Stegostoma tigrinum: one gene and its partner. The protein of the gene in region 1 purifies or fractionates together with the protein of each later gene. This does not show direct contact. Links are inferred from orthologs where the notes say so. Each region holds a gene or a part of one and is shown in the gene's direction. Other genes may lie near its edges. The genes, in order: protein bicaudal D homolog 2-like and cytoplasmic dynein 1 intermediate chain 1.

The links.
Region 2: the proteins of protein bicaudal D homolog 2-like (region 1) and cytoplasmic dynein 1 intermediate chain 1 purify together in Homo sapiens (affinity purification with western blotting; 4 studies listed by BioGRID and IntAct, with this or other methods). This does not show direct contact. The link is inferred for Stegostoma tigrinum from reciprocal best matches to the Homo sapiens genes BICD2 and DYNC1I1.

What each region holds. Positions count from the first base shown.
Region 1 is NC_081364.1:29,077,737-29,088,980, reverse strand, and holds the start of protein bicaudal D homolog 2-like, read left to right. Parts: upstream 1-7,224; 5' UTR 7,225-7,521; coding exon 7,522-7,737; intron 7,738-11,244. UniProt on the Homo sapiens protein: Acts as an adapter protein linking the dynein motor complex to various cargos and converts dynein from a non-processive to a highly processive motor in the presence of dynactin.
Region 2 is NC_081355.1:82,796,064-82,806,996, forward strand, and holds the start of cytoplasmic dynein 1 intermediate chain 1, read left to right. Parts: upstream 1-5,812; 5' UTR 5,813-5,892; exon of another isoform or gene 5,893-6,130; intron 6,131-6,171; exon of another isoform or gene 6,172-6,417; intron 6,418-10,933. UniProt on the Homo sapiens protein: Acts as one of several non-catalytic accessory components of the cytoplasmic dynein 1 complex that are thought to be involved in linking dynein to cargos and to adapter proteins that regulate dynein function.

The sequences.
Region 1 (11,244 bases):
TTCATTTGACCCTTACCCGCTTCCCCCCCCCTCCCTTCTTCTGCATATAAACTGACGTTTTCCTAGCTACCATTAGTTCTGAGGAAGGGTCACTGGACCCAAAACATTAACTTTGATTTGTCCTCATAGATGCTGTCAGGCCTGCCGAGCTTTTCCAGCAACTTCTGTTTTTGTGTCTGATTTGAGGCATTCACAGGTTGTATGTTTCTTATTTAATAAATTATACTGTGCAATATTAGAAAATAAACTACAGAGAGCCCAACCGAAAAGGCGTGGAGACTAAACTAGAAGCTGATGAGCTTGCATCTTTGATCATGATTAAACATGTCTAATTGGGTGTCTTGTTGGTTTGCATGGATAATGTTTCATTAAAATTTGCAAATGGGATTAAAGGTGTCTTAGGGAGTGGTTCACACTACAATCAAATTTTTTGGAGGCGTAGGTTAGTCAATCAATGAATCAACCATGGGAATTTCTTTTTTTTATTCATTAATGGGATGAGGCCGTTGCTGACTAGGGCAGCATTTATTGCCCATCCCTAATTGTCCACGGGGCAGTTAAGAGTCAACCACATTGCTGTGGGTCTGGAGCCATATGTAGGCCAGACCAAGTAAGGATGGCATTCGTGAACCATTGCATTACAGCAGTCTTTCCTTTAGCTGGAACAGAAATATTAGCGAAGGGATGCTTTAAAACATTGAAATATCAAAAAAAAATGCAGATGGCTGTTGTAAAAATTACTTTTCAATGTCCTTTGTAAACAAATGCAGAAACCATTTTCTCTATACAGGTTAAGAATTCTTTCTTAAAATTATTCTGATTGTATGGCTGAGTCTTGAATATTTACACAGATTGCATAGGTGCAAAGAAAGTGTAGATTCTTCGACATTCTGAAGAAGATTCATTTGGACTTGAAACATTAGGTGAAATCTTACAGTGGCCTGAACAATGTGAGGATGGTGAGATTTGTGGCAGGATCGAAGAAGAAACCTAGAATAGAAGAATAGAACAGAATCCCTACAGTGTGGAACCAGGCCCTTCAGCCCAACAAGTCCACACCGACCCTCAGATTATCCCACTAGACCCATCCCCCTTTCATCCAACTACTCTCCACATAAAAACCAAAAGAACTGCGGATGCTGTAAACCAGGAACAAAAACAAATTTGCTGGAAAAGCTCAGCAGGCCTGGCAGCATCTGTGGAGGAGAAAACAGAGTTAATGTTTCGGGTCCAGTGACTTTTCCTCAGAACTGTTCTCAGGAAGGGTCACTGGACCTGAAATGTTTACTCTGTTTTCTCCTCCACAGATGCTACCAGACCTGCTGAGCTCTTCCATCAACTTTGTTTTTTTACTCTACGTATCCCTGAACATGATGGGCAATTTAGCATGGCCAATCCACCTAGCCTGCACATCTTTGGACTGTGGGAGGAAACCCGTGCAGACACGGAGAGAATGAGCAAACTCCACACTGTCACCTGAGGATGGAATCAAACCTGGGTCCCTGGTGCTGTGAGGCAGCAGAGCTAGGTACTGAGCCACCATTCTGCCCCTTTTTTTTATAATTTGGTATGGTCAATCCACACTATCTGCACATTTTTGGACTGTGGGAGGAAACCTACACTGACCCAGGGAGAAAGTGCAAACGCGACACACAGTTACTCAAGACTGGAATTAAACCCAGGTTCCTGGTGCTGTGAGGCGGTAGTGCTAACCACTGAGTCACTGTGCTGTGTAGCGAGGCCTATCTTGGCCTCCAAGTTGCTCAGTGTTTCTGGGTGTAATCCATGAGCATCAAGCATGTGGAATCTGGTCCATGGACATTGGCATGTGACATCTGGGTTACATCTGAAACAGAATAGGTCCAATATCTTTGTTGGGAGGTTTGCTTTTGCTGTTGGAAAGCTTTTAATCTAATTTTGCAAGGCACAGAGTAGATTTAAAATTGTGAGCAAAGTCTAATCAGAAATAGAAGCAATGCAGTCCAGTAGACTGAGAAGACATGGGCATGAGAAGGCACATGGGAGAACCAGAAAGCTAAATCATATCTATTTGAATGCAAGGAGCCTGATTGGTATGGCAGAAGAAGTTAAGAGTATTGATCAGTGCTCAGGAGTATGATGTTGTTGCAATTGCTGAGACATGATTGAAGAAAGGGCAGGACTGACAGCTCAATGTTCCAGGGTATAGAGATTTCAAGCATGATAGAATGGGATGTAAGTGTGTTGGGGATATTGCATTATTGGCAAAGGAAACCATCACTGCAGGAATGAAGGAGGATGTCCTAGAAGGCTCTTCAAATGCGGCCATCTGGGAGAGCTTAGATATAAAAAAAGCGGCATTCACTTTGCTGGAATTAGACAACAGTCCTCCCAACGGTCAGAGGGAGATAGAGGAGCAGCTATATAGGCAAATCACCGAGAGGTATGAGACGAATAGGGTTATAGTAGGAGGGGATTTCAATTTTACTAACATTAACTGGGATTGCCTTAGTGTGAACAGATTAGATGGCATGGAATTTTTAAAGTGCATCCAGGAAAGGTTTTTGTGCCAGTACTTAGACATTCCTCATTGAAATGGAGCAGTACTGGACCTAATCCTAGGCAATGAAACCAGTCAAGTGGTTGAAGCATCAGTGGGCAAGCATTCTGGGGATAGCAACCCCAGAAACTCTGTAAGTTTCAAAGTCATGTGGAAAGAGATAAGGATACTGCAGAATTAAGTGTCAAACTAGGAGAAGGTTAATATCAATATTATTAGACAGGATCTAGTAGACTGAGAGCATCTACTTGCAGGTAAGTCTACATTTGGAAAGTGGGTGTCTTTTGAATGTAGCATAGTGAGAGATCAGGGCCTACATGTTCCTCTAAAAGGGAAGGGCAAAAGCAGCAAGTCTGGGCAACCCTGGAATGTTAAGAGGTATTGAGAGTTGATAAAGAAAAAGAAGGAAACCCATATAACAGGGTGTGGAGCTGGGTGAATGCAGCAGGCCAAGCAGCATCTTAGGAACAGGAAGGCTAATGTTTTGGGCCTAGACCCTTCATCAGAAATGGGGTCTAGGCCCGAAAGGTCAGCCTTCCTGCTCCTAAGATGTTGCTTGACCTGTTGTGTTCATCCAGCTCCACACCTTGTTATCTCGGACTCTCCAGCATCTGCAGTTCCCATTATCTCAGAAGGAAACTTATGTTTGGTACAGAGCATTAAAACAGGGAAGGTCCTCCAGAAGCACAGACAGTGTGGGAGGGTGGCTTTAAAAATAAATTAGGAAGCCAAAGAGGGGCCATGAAATATCTTTGGCAGATAGAATTAAAGAAAATCCCAAGGCATTTTATAAATATATTCTATACTAACAGTAAGAGGATTACCAGGGAAAGAGGGGACTCTAGTAGAGACCAAAGGAAAAATCTGTGCATGGAGCCAGAAGACATGGGTGAGGTCTTAATTGAATATTTACCATCTGTTTCACAAAGGTTAAAGACAATGTAGCTGGATATTTCAGTTGGAATGGTGAGGTTCTATAGCATGTTAAGAAAAAGAAGGTGGAAGTTTAGCAGGTATAAAGGTATGTAAATCCCCAAGGCCTGATGCAATGTATGACAGGCTGCTTCGTTGGGGTAAGCGAGAAGATTGCTGATGCCCTGGAATGAGATATTTATTACTTTGCTACCAACAGGTAAAGTGCCAGATAACTGGAGAATAGATAATGTGGTTCTTTTGTTTAAGAAGGCCAGGTAATTGCAGATCATCCAATCAGATATCGGTGGTAGGGAAATAATGAGAAAATATTTCAGGAGACAGGATTTATTGGCATTTGGAAAGGCAGGGATAGATCAGGGATGATCGGCATGAACTTGTTGGAAGGATATCGTGTCTGACTAATTTAGTTGAATTTTTTGAAAAGGTGACTAAATATATTGATGAGGGTAACAAAGTTGATGTGGTATACGTGGACTTCTATAAGGCCTTTGACAAGGTCCCACATGGAAGGCAAGCCAAAACGTAGGAGTCCATGGTATCCTAGACAAGTTGGCAAACTGGATGCAAAATTGGTTCACAAATTGGAGGCAAAGAGTGACAGTGGTAGGTTGGTTTCATAATTGGAAGCTAGTGATCAGCAGCACATCACTGGGTTTGGTGCTGGGACAATAGCTGTTTGTTATGCACATTAACAACTTGGATGTGAACATAGAAGGTATAATGAGTGAATTTGTAGATGACACAAAAAAATGGACATTTTGTTAATAATGAGAAGGATGGTGTCAGGCTACAATCTGATATGGTCAGCTGGTAAATTGGGTAGAGCAATGGCCGTTGGAATTTAATGTGATAAATGCTGCACTTTGGGTGATCTAATAAGCGTAGGATATACACAATGAATGGTAGATCCATGGGGACTGCTGAGGGAAAAAAGGACATTGGCGTCTAAGTCAATAGATTTGATTTGGTTTGATTTTGATTAATTATTGTCACATGTACCTAGCTACAGTGAAAAGTTGTGTTTACCTGCAGTACAGGCAGATGATACATTACAAAGTGCATAACAGTAATAGAACAGCGTGAGGAATACAGTGTTGCAGCTTCGGATCCCTTGAAGGCATTAGCACAAATAGACAGGATGATAAAGAAAGCATAGGGGATGCTGATCTTTATTAGCTGAAGCATAGAAGAGAGGAGCAAGTAGGTCTTGTTACAATTTTATAAACATTTATTAGGCCACAGAAGGAATCCTGCATTCTGGTGCCACATTATTGGAAGGGTGTGATTGCATTGGAGAGGGTGCAGAGGAGATTTACCAGGATGTTGCCTGGGATGGAAAATCTCAGTTATGAGGAGACACTGAATAGGGCGTGCTTGTTTTCCTTGGGGCAGAAACAGAGGAGGCTGAGGGGGATCTGATCGAAGTGACAAGGTTATGAGAGGCATAGACAGGATAGATTGTGAGAATTCTCTCCCCATCGTAGATGTGTTTACAATCAGAGGGCATACAGCATGTTTAAAGTGAGGAGTAATTCATTAAGGGGGATCTGAGGAAACTTTATTTCTTCCAGAGGGTGGTAGAAATATGGAACATGCTGCTTTAGAGGTTGGAGGAGGCATATACTATTGCACCATTTAAGAAACATCTGGATGTGCACTTAAAATGCCAAGGCACAGAAGGCAATGGACGAAGCACAGAACAATGGGATTAGTGTATCAGTGATAATGGGAACTGCAGATGCTGGAGAATCCAAGATAACAAAGTGTGGAGCTGGATGAACACAGCAGGCCAAGCAGCATCTCAGGAGCACAAAAGCTGACGTTTCAGGCCGAGACCCTTCATCAGAGCCTCTGTTATTGCTGGCACCCATACCATATTTAAAAGGATGCTGTGAATCTGGTCAATCACTATAATTCTGAAGCTGCTTTACCCGGTGACAGTCAGTTTGAACACATAGCAATAACAGAGCCTCTGATGAAGGGTCTTGGCCCGAAACGTCAGCTTTTGTGCTCCTGAGATGCTGCTTGGCCTGCTGTGTTCATCCAGCTTCACACTTTGTTATAATGGGATTAGTGTAGTTTGGTACAAAAACACAAGTTGCTGGAAAACTCAACATGTCTGGCAGCTTCTGTGAAGAGAAAATCAGAGTTAGCGTTTCAGGTCTGGTGACCCTTCTTCAGAGCTGGCTCTACCTGAAAACGTCTATAAACTATTGTGGCATCCCAATACACTTGCAGGTCACTCAGGAAGCACAGACTTGCATTACATAGCACACCGGCAACTGGTATTGAAAGGCTGCTGCAGGGACAGGCACTCAGCTCACAGGCTGGGCAAAGGCTGCATCTTAAGGCTGCCGGCTTGCTTTCTAAGAACTTGTTCACCTGGGTTCTCAAAGTATCGGTGTCCTGCCTTGCCTTGCCTCAGCCCAGCTCCACAGCCAGGCAGCTTGCTTTGATGGCAGCAGTCCTCAGTCAATGGGGTATTCATCTTCTTATACAGCAAAATACAAAATCTTAGTTATACCTCAGGCCTGCAGCTTACATTTTTCCAATGTGTTCAAACTGACTGTCACCGGATAAAGCAGCTTCGGAATTATAGTGATTGTCCAGATTCACAGCATCCTTTTAAATATGGTATGGGTGCCAGCAATAACAAAGTGCGGAGCTAGAGGAACACAGCAGGCCAGGGAACATCAGCAGAGCAGGAAAGCTTATGTTTCAGTTTGGGATCCTTCTTCATAAATGTGTATGTTACGGGGTTATGTAGATTGTGTATAATATGGTGGGTATATTACATGGTGTGTTTTATGTTATACATAGTATATTGTGTTTTACAGGGTATATAATATATTGTATATTTTATATTTATATATCACAGGGTGTATGATACATTATATGTATTATATTGTATATATTGTAGGTTATATGATATATTATATATACAATATATATTACAAGATGTATGATGTATGTTATGTATACTACACTATATATTACAGGGTATGAGATACATTGTGTATATGACAAGGTGTATGATTTACTGCATTGATTGCAGGATGTATGATGTATGATATATTATAAACACTACACAATATATTACAGGTATGAGAAATAGGATGCATCTGCAGTTCCCATTATCACTGATACAATTTTAACCTCACTGCGAAGCCTCTTCCAGGGATGCCTAAGCTGAAGAAGTTACCCTCCTCCCTCTGGACCAACCTCAGGGAATCTCTCTCCCACTGCAACTCCCTTGTCTCTCCATGTTTGGTCCACCTCCCCCTCTCTCCCTATTTATTCCAGTTCCCTCTCCCCATCCCCCTCTCTGATGAAGGGTCTAGGCCCAAAACGTCAGCTTTTGTGCTCCTGAGATGCTGCTTGGCCTGCTGTGTTCATCCAACTCCACACTTTGTTATCTCGGATTCTCCAGCATCTGCAGTTCCCATTATCACATCAGAAATAGGATGTATATTTCGTATATATTGCACAGTATTTTAGATTACACGGTGAATAAGAGACTGTATAGATTACAAGGGGTATGATGTATTGAATAAATTAGGTGTATGATTTACTGTATATATTTTAGTGTGTATGATATAGTGTATAGATTACAGGGTGTATAGTTTATTGGATAGATTACAGGGTGTATGATAAACTGTATAGAACACAGGGTGTGGGGACCACGCAGTGTCCTCAAGCGGCTCCTTGTCTGTGGGGAAGGAGCTGACGTCAGCAGCTGGGAAGGAATGTCAGCGGCAATGGCGACGGGATGGTGGAGGAGGGGAGCAGCCTAACGGGGCGGAGACAGGAGTAGCAGACCCAGGAGCCGGCAGAACGGAGACGTTGGGGGAAGCGTTCTCTGTCTTTCGCACTTGGTCGCCTTCATTTTCCACCCCCTCCTTCAGGCTGAGTTTCGCTGCCTGGCCGGTGGGCCAGCCGGGTGAAGCTATGGTGGCCAAGGCAGCGAGGACCCCGTTTTAACTCAGCTGACCCGGGATCCGGACCGAATTGGCCGGCCGAGAAGCGAGCGAGCGGGCGGCGGCGCCATGCAGGCGGAGGAGCCACTGATGGAGAGCGAGAGTTTCCTGCGGACTGAGGTCGAGCGGCTGAACCGGGAGCTGAGCGAAACAACCCAGGAGAAGATCCAGGCGGCCGAGTACGGGCTGGTGGTGTTGGAGGAGAAGCAGAGCCTCAAACAACAGTATGAGGATCTGGAGGGCGAGTATGAGACAGTCAGACAGGAGTTGGAGCAGCTCCGAGAGGTGAGGCTTATTGAGCAAGGAAAAAGGATAATAATATCACCAAATCTCGATCCCGATTTTTGTACAGACGGTTTTGTTTTAAAAATAAGTTAATCATTTGCTTAAAATGTATTGGTTGGATTCTTCAAAAAAAAACTGACCGAAGACCCACCCATTGCCCAAGAGCGTCTGACCGTTGACAGATTCAAGCAGCAGCTCCCAGCATCTGCCACCTCACTGCTCAATAATAGTTGTTGTGCTGTGCCAAATGGCTCACAGTGGCTTGTTCGTACCGTTGAATCCCCTACTGTAACTGTATGAATTCTCGCAGTGGAGGAATCCCTTTGTCCTCATCTTTCAGCAGATTGTCATAGATCGGATTAGTGACCACTGTTAGATCCACGGGAAGCATGGTCAGAGATCCATCAAGCAGAGGCCACTAGATTTAAAAAAAACACTTCCCCCTCGGCATAAGTCAAATGTACAAACTAGGTAAATCAGCTAATTAGAGTTTGATGGCCAGTCAAATGGCCAGACAATGCAAAATTGTAAGATAAGTTTTGTTTTAATAACGCTTTGACAAGACCTAAAAAAATTCTCAAGAGAAAATATTTCCACGAATCTTTGGCACGAAGAAATTGCATAAAATATGTTGGGCAGGACTAGACTGTTGAGCCAAACTAGTTTAATACATCTAGTGACTAAGATGTTCAGACCGGAAAGAAAATGTTTAGATATACAATATTGTACTATCACAGTACATGAAGGTAAAGTGCTCCTCATATGCAGACATTCTGTAACTGCCTTGTAAAATGAAATACTTATGAGATGTGAATCATTGCTTGTCTTTGGGTTGTATGTTTTTTTCCCCACTCAAGACATCACTGGATTTGACTTGACGCCTCCTTTCAGAATTCTGGATTAGATTAGTGACTCATTGGGAAAGTCATGCTTAGCTTGCCTGCTTGGTTGATACAGCATGCTGATACAAAATTGAATCAATTACATTCTAGAATGAAGATTTCTTTTGGTTTTAACTATTATTGACTTTTTTTTGGTTCAAATCGATAATAGACTTCAATTTCTGTTTTGGAAAAGGTCAGTTTGTGGATATAACTACATCTATAGAGCACATCTTTTTACAAGTTTATGTTAAATTGATTAAAAATCAAATCTCAATCTGGATTGTGGAGCATTTTCATAATGAAGAAAATGTATTATTTCATTAGGATAACATTCGGATTGAGATTTTCAAATGTGAGCTGTTTAGAGCATTTGAATAATAAATTATCGGTTTAATGAAACGTCAAAGCATTGTAATGTCATACTGTGTTTGAAGGAAATATGTTAACGTTTGCAAGTCATGTTAATTGTATGTACTGGAAGTTTCAATATTTCTCTCAGTATTACGTGGGATATGAGGCTTTTGAGTGTTTATTTTCATATTCTTTAATTGAGCTGATATTTATGGGTCTGAATGACATTGGGTGGGAAAACTGCTGTCTTCAAATTTTAATGTTTAAACATTTCAGTTACAAATCAAGCAAGTAGTTTTAGTTTGATATATGCAGGAAAGGATCAGAAATGGCATATTGGACTTCTAAGACAAGAAAGATACATGAAAGGACTTGTATTCACCTTCACAAACTCAGGTCTAACTGATATTTATGGAAATCTAAAGAGATCATTTCTCTGCAAATTTGTTCTATTAAGCAAAGTTAAAAATGAACTTTGCAATCTCAAGGATTTGAAAAGATATTTTTTCAATGAGTGATTTAAACTTTTTCTGCTGTAAATAATAAATTACTCAACAGAAGATACTATGGAATATAACACAGTTTTTTTTATCTTTTTAACATTTCGTTAGATAATTCCTTCACATTTATTACAGGTTGTGTGGAAAATGGGAAGGGTCACTGGATATTTTTAATCAACCCATTCAGATCTATCATGACGCCTCCGGAGCAGGTGGAACTTGAACCCAGACATTCTGGCCCACAGGTAGCACATTGAACAGTACAGTGCAGTACAGGCGCTTCGGCCCTCAATGTTGCACCGACCTGTGAAACCAATCTGAAGCCCATCTAACCTACACTATTCCACTATCATCCATATGTTTATCCAGTGACAATTTAAATGCCCTTTTAAGTTGGAGAGTTGACTGCTGTTGCAGGCAGGGAATTCCACACCCTTACTGATCTCTCTGCTCATCCACACTGCCAAGAATCTTACCGTTAGCCCAGTACTCTGTATTCTTGTTACTCCTTCCACAGTAAATCACCTCTCACTTTTCCACATTAAACTCCATTTGCCACCTCTCAGTCCATGTCTGCAGCTTATCTATGTCCCTCTGTAACCTGCAACATCCTTCCGCACTGTCCACAACTCCACCGACTTTAATGTCATCTGCAAATTTACTAACCCATTCTTCTATGCCCTCATCCAGGTCATTTATAAAATGTAGTGGCCCCAAAACAGATCCTTGCGTTACACCACTAGTAACTGAACTCCAGGATGAACATTTCCCATCAATCACCACTGTCGTCTTACAGCTAGCCAATTTCTGATCCAAACTGCTAAATCGCCCTCAATCTCATGCCTCCGTATTTTCTTCAATAGCCTACTGTGGGGAGCCTTATCAAACGCTTTACTGAAATCCGTATACACCGCATCAACCGCTTTACCCTCATCCACTTGTTTGGTCACCTTCTCCAAGAACTCAATAAGGTTTGTGAAGCACAACCTACCCTTCACAAAACAGTGTTGACTGTCCCTCATCGAATTATTCCTTTCTGGATGATTATAAATCCTATCTCTTATAATCGTCTCCAACACTTTACCCATAACCAAAGTAAGGTTCACTGGTCTATAATAACCAGGGTTGTCTCTATTCCCTTTCTTGAACAAGGGGACAACATTTGCTATCCTCCAGTCTTCTGGCGCTATTCCCGTGGACAATGACAACATAAAGATCAAAGCCAAAGGCTGTACAATCTCCTCCCTAGCCTCCCAGAGAATCCTAGGATGAATCCTATCCAGCCCAGGGGATATATCTATTTTTACACCTTCCAGAATTGCTAGCACCTCCTTATGAACCTCATCCTGTCTAGTCTAATAGCCTGTATCTCAGTCTTCTCCTCGACGACATTGTCTTTTTCACGTCTGAATACTGATGAAAAATATTCATTTAGTGCTTCTCCTATCTCTTCAGACTCCGCACAACTTCCCACTACTGTCCTTGACTGGTCCTAATCTTACTCTTGTCATTCTTTTATTCCTGATATACCTATAGAAAGCTTTAGGGTTTTCCTTGATCCTACCTGCCAAAGACTTCGTGTCCCCTCCTGGCTCAGCTTAGCTCTCCAGGTAGTTTGAAATTAGAAAAAAGTCTAAGTGTAACTTTGAATGGATTGGAATCTGGTGAAATTTATTTAATGTTTGACGTTTATTTTCTAATGTGTCCTTTATTATCCTGTGAACCTAATGTAACAAGTAGTAACATGATCTCTCTTCTCAACATGGTAAGAG
Region 2 (10,933 bases), on another chromosome or scaffold:
GATCACATAGGATTCAGGCTATCAATTTAATACAAAATTGACTTAACAGCAGAAGACAGTTGTGATGGAAAGAGATAACAGGAACTGCAGATGCTGGAGAATCTGAGATAACAAAGTGTGGTACTGGATGAACACAGCAGGCCAAGCAGCATCTTAGGAGCACAAAAGCTGATGTTTCGGGCCTAGGCCCTTCATCAGAAAATAAATAGGGAGGGAGGGGGAGGTGGATCAAAGATGGATAGAGGAGCAGATAGCTGGAGAGGAGACAGACAAGTTAAAGGGACGTGGATAGAGCCTGCAGAGGTGAGTGTAGGTGGGGAGGGGATAGGTCAGTCTGGGGTGGACGGACAGGTCAAGGGGGCAGGATGAGGTTAGTAGGGAGGAAATGGAGGTGCGGCTTGAGGTGGGAGGAGGGGACAGGTGACAGGAAGAACAGGTTAGGGAGGCAGGCACGAGCTGGGCTCGTTTTGGAATGCAGTGAGGGGAGATTTTGAAGCTTGTGAAATCCACATTGATACCATTGGGCTGCAGGGTTCCCAAGTGGAATATGAGTTGCTGTTCCTGCAACCTTCGGGTGGCATCGTTATGGCACTGCAGGAGGCCCAGGATGGACATGCCGTCTAAGGAATGCGAGGGAGAATTAAAATTGTTCACGACTGGGAGGCGCAGTTGTTTACTGCAAACCGAGCGTAGGTGTTCTGCAAAGCAGTCCCCAAGCCTCCGCTTGGTTTCCGCGATGTAGAGGAAGCCACAGCGGATGCAGTATACCACATTGGCAGATGTGCAGGTGGACATCTGCTGGATGTGGAAAGCCTTCTTGGAGACTGGGATGTGGGTGAGGTAGGAGGTGTGGGGGCAAGTGTAGCACTTCCCGCGGTTGCAGGGGAAAGTGCCGGATATGGAGGGGTTGGAGGGGATTGTGTGGCGGACAAAAGTGTGGTCTCTCCGGAAAGCAGATCAGGTGGAGACGGAAAAATGTCTTTAGTGGTGGGGTCGGATTGTAGACGGCGCAAGTGTCAGAGGATGACGTGTTGTATCTGGAGGTTGGTGGGGTGGTATGTGAGGACAAGGGGGATTCTCTTTTGGCAGTTATTGCAGGTTCAGGGTGTGAAGAATGAGTTGCAGGAAATGCGGGAAACACGGTCAAGGACGTTCTCGACCACTGTGTGGGGGGGGGGGGGGGTGTTGGGTGGGTGGGTAGCGTTGCAGTCCTTGAAGAAGGAGGACATCTGAGATGTACAGGAGTGGAATGCCTCATCCTGGGAGCAGATGATGAAAAGTTGTTTTCCAGACTGGAGTCCTGTGACCAGGGGTGTTCCACAGGGATCGGTATTGGGTCCACTTTTGTTTGTCATTTGTGTAAATGATTTAGATGAGAATATAGAAGGCATGGTTAGTAAGTTTGTGGATGATACCAAAATTGATGGTATAGTGGACAGTGAAGAAGGTTATCGAAGATTACAAAGGACATCTTGATCAACTGGGTCAATGGGCTGAAGAGTGGCAGAAAGAGTTTAATTTGGATAAATGGAAGATATTACAGTTTGGTAAAACAAACAAAGCACAGGGCTTATAGAATTAATGGCATGGCCTTTGGTGGTGTTGTAGAACAGAGAAACGTAGGGGTTCAGGTACATGAATCTTTGAAATTTGCATCACATATGGATAGGGTGGTTAGGACGGTGTTTCGCATGCTTGCCTTCATTGCTCAGATCTTTGAGTATAGGAATTGGGAACTATGTTGAGGTTATGCAGGAGGTTGGAGAGGCATCTTTTGGATTACTGTGTCCTGTTCTGGTCACCTTGTTATAGGAAGGATATTATTAAGCTCGGGACGATGGATAGACTGGGACATTTTTCACAGCGTAGGAGGTTGTGGGGTGATCTTATTGAGATTTACATAAAAAGGGTGAATGGCAGGTGGTTTTTTTTCCCCCCTGGGGTTAGGGATTTCAAAACTAGGGGGCATAATTTTTAAGGTGACAGGAGCAAGATTTAAAAAAGACATGAGCAAGCAATTGTTTTTACACAGAGTGCTTCATGTGTGGAATGAACCTCCAGAGGACATGCTGGATGCGGGTACAGCTACAAGGTTTAAAAGACATTTAGATAAGTATAACAATAAGAAATACTTGGAAGGATATTGGTCAAGTGCAGGCATGTCGGACTTATTTAGTTTGGGATTGTGGTCGGCATGGGCTGGTTGGACTGCAGGGTCTGATTCTCTGCTGTATGACTGTATGAGCTCACAGAGGAGTGAGAAACATAGGACAGAATCAAGAAAAGGATGATTCAGATCTATCTCTAACTCCTACCTTCCCTTACTCGACATCTCTGTTTCCATTTCTGAGGATAGACTGGCCACTAATATCCACTATAAACCCACTGACTCCCACAGCTACCTGGACTATATATCCTTGCACCGTGCTTCCTGTAAAAAGTCTCCATTCTCGCACTTCCTCCCGTCTCCGTCACATATGTTTCAATGAGTCTACCTTTGACAAGGCAGCCTCCAAAATGTCCACCTTCCTCTTTAACTGAAGTTTCCCCAGCACCGTTGTTGACAGGGCCCTCAACCAGATCTGACTCATCTCCTGCACGTCTGCCCTCACCCCCTCTCTTCTCTCCCACACCAGCAATAAACTAATTAATAAAATTAGGTCACACAGGATTCAGGCTATTAATTGGATACAAAATTGACTTAACAGCAGAATTTGTCCTTATCTACCAGCATCCACATCCAGAAGATCACCAGCTGCCATTTCCACAACCTCCAGCAAGATGCCACCACTGGACATATATTCCTTTCTGCTCCCTTATCCACCTTCCACAGGGATCGTTTCCTCCGGGACACCCTGGTCCATTCTTCCTAAACTCCCAACCTGAAGGATCAACTTTCCTGCTCCTCTGATGCTGCCTGGCATGCTGTGCTCCTCCAGCTCCACACTGTGTTATCTCTGATAGCATTTGATATGATTAGCAGAATAATAATGGACTGCTAAGTCATTTGTCTAACAGGTACAATAAATCTGCACCACTTGGCGTTTAATTTAGCAAAGATGGTGATCAAGTGGGAATTCATTCCTTGTGAAAGCCAGGACATTATCCTGCACAATAAGGTGCATTGTAAGGTCTTCTTTGTGACTGAAGAACATTCTGGAGCAAGACGGAGAAGCAGGAAGACAGTGAATGCGGTGAAGCACATAATCTTTTTTATATAGAAGAATTAATTATTTAAACAATAAGGGAATTAGACTACCTTTGACACTTTAGTCCCACAAGAGAAATGTTTGCATAGAGTATGGATAACAGATGCATTTTTACAGCCACGGAATGCTTGCTCTGCCACCTGCTGGATTTTCATGTTATGATGTAAATGAGAAAAAAGTGAAGAATAATAGATAACAAAGTGTGGAGCTGGATGAACACAGCAGGCCAAGCAGCATCTAAGGAGCACAAAACCTGACATTTCAGGCCTGGATCCTTCATCAGAAAAAGGGGGATGGGGAGATGATTCTGAAATAAATAGGGAGAGAGGGGGAGGCAGACTGAAGATGGATAGAGGAGAAGATAGGTGGGGAGGTAGGGAAGGGATAGGTCAGTCCGGGGAGGACGGACAGGTCAAGGGGGCGGGATGAGGTTAGTAGGGAGGAAATGGAGGTGCGGCTTGAGGTGGGAGGAGGGGATAGGTGACAGGAAGAACAGGTTAGGCAGGCTGGGATGAGCTGGGCTGGTTTTGGGATGCAGTGGGGGGGGGGGGTGGGATTTTGAAGCTTGTGAAATCCACATTGATACCATTGGGCCGAGCAGCATCTCAGGAGCACAAAAGCTGACGTTTCGGGCCTAGACCCTTCATCAGAGAGGGGGATGGGGGGAGGGAACTGGAATAAATAGGGAGAGAGGGGGAGGCGGACCGAAGATGGAGAGTAAAGAAGATAGGTGGAGAGAGTGTAGGTGGGGAGGTAGAGAGGGGATAGGTCAGTCCAGGGAAGACGGACAGGTCAAGGAGGTGGGATGAGGTTAGTAGGTAGCGGGGGGTGCGGCTTGGGGTGGGAGGAAGGGATGGGAGAGAGGAAGAACCGGTTAGGGAGGCAGAGACAGGTTGGACTGGTTTTGGGATGTAGTGGGGGGGGGGGGGGGGGGAAGAGCTGGGCTGGTTGTGTGGTGCAGTGGGGGGAGGGGATGAACTGGGCTGGTTTAGGGATGCAGTAGGGGAAGGGGAGATTTTGAAACTGGTGAAGTCCACATTGATACCATATGGCTGCAGGGTTCCCAGGCGGAATATGAGTTGCTGTTCCTGCAACCTTCGGGTGCCATCCGATGCCACCCGAAGGTTGCAGGAACAGCAACTCATATTCCGCCTGGGAACCCTGCAGCCATATGGTATCAATGTGGACTTCACCAGTTTCAAAATCTCCCCTTCCCCTAATGCATCCCTAAACCAGCCCAGTTCATCCCCTCCCCCCACTGCACCACACAACCAGCCCAGCTCTTCCCCCCCCACCCACTACATCCCAAAACCAGTCCAACCTGTCTCTGCCTCCCTAACCGGTTCTTCCTCTCACCCATCCCTTCCTCCCACCCCAAGCCGCACCCCCCGCTACCTACTAACCTCATCCCACCTCCTTGACCTGTCCGTCTTCCCTGGACTGACCTATCCCCTCCCTACCTCCCCACCTACACTCTCTCCACCTATCTTCTTTACTCTCCATCTTCGGTCCGCCTTCCCCTCTCTCCCTATTTATTCCAGTTCCCTCCCCCCATCCCCCTCTCTGATGAAGGGTCTCGGCCCGAAACGTCAGCTTTTGTGCTCCTGAGATGCTGCTCGGCCTGCTATGTTCATCCAGCCTCGCATTTTATTATCTTGGAATCTCCAGCATCTGCAGTTCCCATTATCTTTGATACCATTGGGCTGCAGGATTCCCAAGCAGAACATGAGTTGCTGTTTTTGCAACCTACGGGTGGCATCATTATGGCACTGCAGGAGGCCCAGGATGGACATGACGTCTAAGGAATGGGAGGGGGAGTTGAAGTGGTTCGCGACTGGGAGGTGCAGTTGTTTACTGAGAACTTAGTGTAGATGTTCTGCAAAGCAGTCCCCAAGCCTCTGCTTTTGGTTTCCCCAATGTAGAGGATGCCACACCGGGTACAATGGATACTATATACCACATTGGCGGATGCACAGGTGAACATCTGCTTGATGTGGAAAGTCATCTTGCGGCCTGGGATAGGGGTGAGGGAGGAGGTGTGGGGGCAGGTGTAGCACTTCCTGCTGTTGCAGGGGAAAGTGCCGGGTGCGATGGGGTTGGAGGGGAGTGTGGAGCGGACAAGGGAGCTGCGGAGAAAGTGGTCTCTCCGGAAGGCGGACAAAGGTGGGGTGGGAAAAATGTCCTTGGTGGTGGGGTCAGATTGTAGGAATGATTTGATTTGCCTTTTGTGTACAGAATATAGCTTGTCAGTTCTCGTTGAGGAGATGTCTGTGTTGTTAGCCTACATTATGAATCCTGCGGGCTGGCAGTGGGGTGGGTGAAGGGGGGGATATGAAAATCAGTGCAGTTCTTTCTCTCTCACACACACACACACACACACACACACACACCAGCCCACCATGTGGCCCAGTTAAACATCCGGTTCTCACCTCCCACTCCTTCAGGAACCTGTTCGCCTCCTCCGCTCCGATCCCTTTGCTCCTCCTGAACTCCTCGCGGACGTAACGGTCACCGATGGCGCGCAGATCGTCAGGCAGCAGCCGGTGCACGAGCAAAAGCCGTTTGTATAGAGTGCGCACCCGCCCAGCCCCGGCCGACGCCATCCCGTCTCCCCGGTAACTACTGGCACCGTGAGTGACCTTACCCTCACCGGACACCCCCGCTGTCGGATATTCCTACTCAGGTACGACACATATATTCCTCCGAATGTTGGGTTCCGTCCAACGTCCAGGGTGGGGACGGGAAATCAGAACAGACCTTCCCCACTCCAAACTTTTTCTTCCATCGAGCTAATGTAAATAGGAAACAAATACAGCGATAAATGTCGCCTTTTGTAGAGTGTCTCTCACTTGACTTTTTTTGTGACATTGGTTCCGAAAGGGAACTTTGCTGCTGGTCGGATCATTGATGTTGCTGCACGAGTTTTTCTGTTGGCCCTTGATTGGACGTTGCCGTGGAAACGTCACCTCCAGTCCTGAGGATGATCGGGTTCAGGTTGACAAGGGAGCGTTTCATGTGCAGCCGATTTACTAACATAAATTAGAAATAAAACACAGTGGATGCGAAAAATATGAAACAGAAAATGTACGAATAGGGGCTATTTAGCCCATTGTGTTTCTACATACTTAAAGACTCCCCCCCCACCCTAATCTCTAGCCATGTTGGACTATAACCTAGTGTCGTGTGATTTCTGACCTTCTCCAGCCGTGTAAGTCTTCAGCTTCTCAACGTATTTTTTTTAAACGTACCTGTGGTTTCTGTCACTGTTACCCGCCCAAACAGTGTAGTCCCGATCCCACCACCCTCAAGGGAAGGGAAATCCTCAACTAGTTATTTGTAGCCGTGTTGTTGGGATCAGGTCCTTGCAATCCAGTGTCTGGCCTCCCAGCACCTCACGTAAAACTCATCTCAGCCATTTTCATTCCAAAAGTAGATTCCATAGGATATCCGAGATACTAGAAACTGCAGATGCTGGAGAATCTGAGATAACAAGGTCTAGAGCTGGATGAACACAGCAAGCCAAGCAGCATCAGAAGAGAGGAAAGCTGACGTTTCGGGTCTTCATTTTCTGAAGAAGAGTCTAGACCCGAAACGTCAGATTTCCTGCTCTTCTGATGCTGCTTGCCCTGCTGCGTTCATCTAGCTCTACACCTTGTTATCCATAGGATACCCAGTCTTTTCTCAAAGCTAATCTTTTCCTACCTGAAACATCTTCATAAAGCTCCCGTGTACCTACTTCAGTGTAATCGTATCCTTCTTGTAATGTGTTGACAAAATTGCAAACAGTGTGTTATGTATGGCCTAACTTTATACAGTTCTACCATAAACTAATCATTTTTTATGCCTATGCCAATAGAGAAAATAATCCCATGTGCCTTTTTAACTAACTTATTTACATTTTACTTTCAGGTCTCTGCCCAGGCACTGCAATGTCCCTTTGCTTGTCTACCCAAACAGTTTTCTTTGCTTTGTTTACAATCTTGAAATACATTACATCACAGTTCTACTGAATGAGCGCTACCAACAGATCAGCTGATGGCTATCTTCCTGCAATCTGTAGCTTTCTTTCTCCCTATTTCCAATATGACTGATTATTATAAAGTTTATCTGTGGCATATGTGGCATTGGCAAGGCCAACATATATTGCCCATCCCTAGTTGCCTTTGAGCAATATGTGGTCAGCTGCTTTCTTGAACAGCTGTGGTCCACTTGGTGTAGGGATGCCCACAGATGAGGGAGATTCGATTATGTATTCATTCATTACATTTCAGTGATGATTCCATCTGCATCAGCTGGTACTTGTCTGTCACCATCCTCATTTTGGACTGGGATTGTGCTAAGGTGGTATCAGGTAACATGCTGTGGTTTGTGGTTGAGGTTATCCATGTTGAGGACTGAGTCTCAACTGAAGTACTTAATGAGCACCACTCTAAGTGGTATTGGCCTTTGGTGCTTGGGGCATAGATGGGTCTTGACTACTAAGTCAAGAATCCAAGCACATCATGGCTGTCAGCAGGTTTCCTGATTTCCTATGTTCTTTCCATACCATCAGTTCTTTAAGACATGTGTCTTTTGTTGGAATTAGGCTTTCCTTTGTCTGTAAATGAACACCTGTCTCCTTGCTCCACTGATCTTCTTGAGATGCTCAACTCAAGCCCTCAATTACAAGTTACACATGTTGTCTACTTATGTATAGTTTAAAAACAAAGCGGCTCGTTCACTCATTTAGTGAGGATCCAGTTTCAGCAGGTTCTTAAATTACACCCTTTCAATGCAATCTTTGAAAATAAACCTGCTCAAACCTTGCAACTGCAGAATTTTAAATTTCAGATTTTCTTTAATGTCAACTGCAAATCTCAATCCAAATTAGGTTTGCACAAGTGAAACTTTCTTACCCAGCAAATGCACACACTCAATTCAGCTTCCTTTCTAACTCACTGAAAGGATGAACACCTCTTGTGATTTTAATAATCATATATGGAAGAGGTGGTGACAATCTGATCTTCAACTCTTACACCACAGTTGGCAGTTTAAGAACAGCCTTCCAAGAAAGTACCAGTCTCCTCAAACATTGCTCCTTTGATAGACTTTGGGATGACATTCTTCTGTTTGCTTTCTTTGCTCAAGCCATTGTGTATAGAAGTTAGAATGTCATGTTGAAGTTGTACAGGACATTGGTGAGAGCATTTTTGGAATACTGTGTGCAGTTGTGGTCATCCTGCTCAAGGAAGGATATCATTAAATTGGAGAAGGTTCAGAAAAGATTTACAAGAATGTTACCAGGACTGGAGGGTTTGAGTTATAAGGAGAGGCTGATAGGCTGGGACTTTGTTCACTTGAGCATCGGGGGTTAGGGTGTGACCTTATAGAGGTTCATAAAATCCTGAGGGGCATGGATAAGGTGAATAGCAAAAGTCATTTCCTAGGGCAGGGGAGTTCAAAACTAGAGGGCATATTTTTAAGGTGAGAGGAGAAAGATTTAAAAGGGACCTGAGGGGCAACTTTTTCACACAGAGGATGGTTTTTTATGTGGAATGAACTGCCAGAAGAAATGGTAGATGCAGATACAGTTACAAAATTTGAAAGACATTTGGACAGGTACATGGATAGGAAAGGTTCAGAGAGATATGGGCCAAACACAGGCAAGTGGGACCAGTTTAGTTAGGGAAATTTGTTTGGCATGAGTGTGCTGTGTGGCATCATGACTCTGTAGACCTTGTATGCAGTATTCTCCTGAGAATTTTAAGTCAGTATTTTGTTACAGACGTGTTACAAGTTTTAAAACAAATTTCTCCCCTCATTCTCATCTATTCATAAGCAGATTATAATATCATTCTTTCCCTTTTTTAAACAGTGATGATGTTTTTCTCCATTTCTTATGGTGATGGAATCGTACATCGTAAGGGCCACAAAATACTGTTGTAAAGTTAAACTAGATGTAAGGTTTATTTCACATATTCTTAGACATGGGCCTGGGGGTACTTTGGAACACAGGGGAGATCAAATTGAGGAGATAAACAGATTATTCGATTTGCAACGATAACAATAACTAAACTAAAAACAATAGAGTGATATGAGGTTATCAATGTCCTTGCTTTTAAGATGCAGTCCAAAAGTCCAGAGGCAAAATTCTTTTGTGGAGGTCTTTTAGTGACAAGTCAGCACTTCATGAGCCGTAGACAGTTTATTGCCTTAATAAAATTCGTTCAAAGATAGTCTGAAGGAGATTGCTGAAATCCAACTTCTGAAATGCTGATTTAATGAAAGCTGGTTAATTACTTGCAGGGAATGGAACAGAATAGCAGTTTATTATCACGTATTTTTACAAACAAAAACAGTAATAAGTCGCTATGCCATGCTGCCTGTATTAATGACTTAAGTCATAGATAAGGAGGAAATGAAGTAAAAAAATTAAAGCAAAATACATCTCAGATCAATTTCAGTTTGGGGAAAGTCAATTAAAATGACTAACATTGGAAAAGTTGGAAGCTGCTGCTGAAGGAGACCTTCATGCCAGAATGAGACCTCCACACTGGAACAATATCACCAAACCAAGACCACCCCTCCAGGACAAGGCAACTGTGGCTCATTGGTTCACACTGCAGCCTCACAGCGCCAGGGACCTGGATTCAATTCCACCCTTGGGCGACTGTCTGTGTGCACGTTCTCCCCTTGTCTGCGTAGGTTTCCTCGGGGTGCTCTGGTTTCCTCCCAGTCCAAAGATGTGCAGGTTAGGTGGATTGGCCATGCCAAATTGCCCATAGTGTTCAGGGATGTGTAGTTTAGGTGAGCTATAGGAGATGGATCTGGATGGGATGCTCCAAGGGTCGGTGTGGACTTGTTGGGCCGAAAGCCCTGTTTCCACACTGTAGGGGATCTAAATCTAAATGCCAGTCCAAAACCACCTGCCAGGTTGCTGGAATACCTGGAATGAGACTTCCATGCCAGAACACAAATACAGATTGTTGTCAGCTTTTTATAGTCTTTAAGAACATAGAACATGGAACTGTACAGCCCTTTGGCCCATGATATTGTGCCGATCCATTATCCTACTCTAAGATCAAACTACCCTGTATACCCTACATTTTACTATCATCCATGCGCCTTTCTAAGAGTCGCTTGAATGTCCCTCATGTATCTGACTCCACTACTACTGCCAGCAGCACATTCCATGCATCTACTACTTTCTGTGTAAAGAACCTGCCTCTGACATCTCCCCTATACCTTCCTCCAACCACCTCTCGAAATAGTCATTTCTGCCCTGGGAAAAAGTCGCTGGCTATCCACTCTATCTATGCTTCACACTATCTTGTACATCTCTATCAAATTACTTCTCATTCTTCTTCGATCCAATGAGAAAAGCCCTCGCTCCCTCAACCTGTACTCATAAAACCCTGCCCTCTAGTCCAGGCAGCATCCTGGTAAATCTCCACTGCATCCTCTCTAAAGCTTCCCCAAACTTCCTATGATGAGATGACGAGAACGGAACACGATATTCCGAGTGTGGTCTAACCAGGGTTTTATAGAGCTGCAGCATGACCTTGTAACTCTTAAACTCAATTCCCCTGCTAATGAAAGCCAACACACCATACGCCTTCTTTACAATCTATCAACTTGGGTAGCAATTTTGAGGGATCTATGGGCATGGACCCCAAGATACCTCTGTTCCTCCACACTGCCAAGAATCCCTACATTAACCCTGTATTCTATATTCAAATTCAACC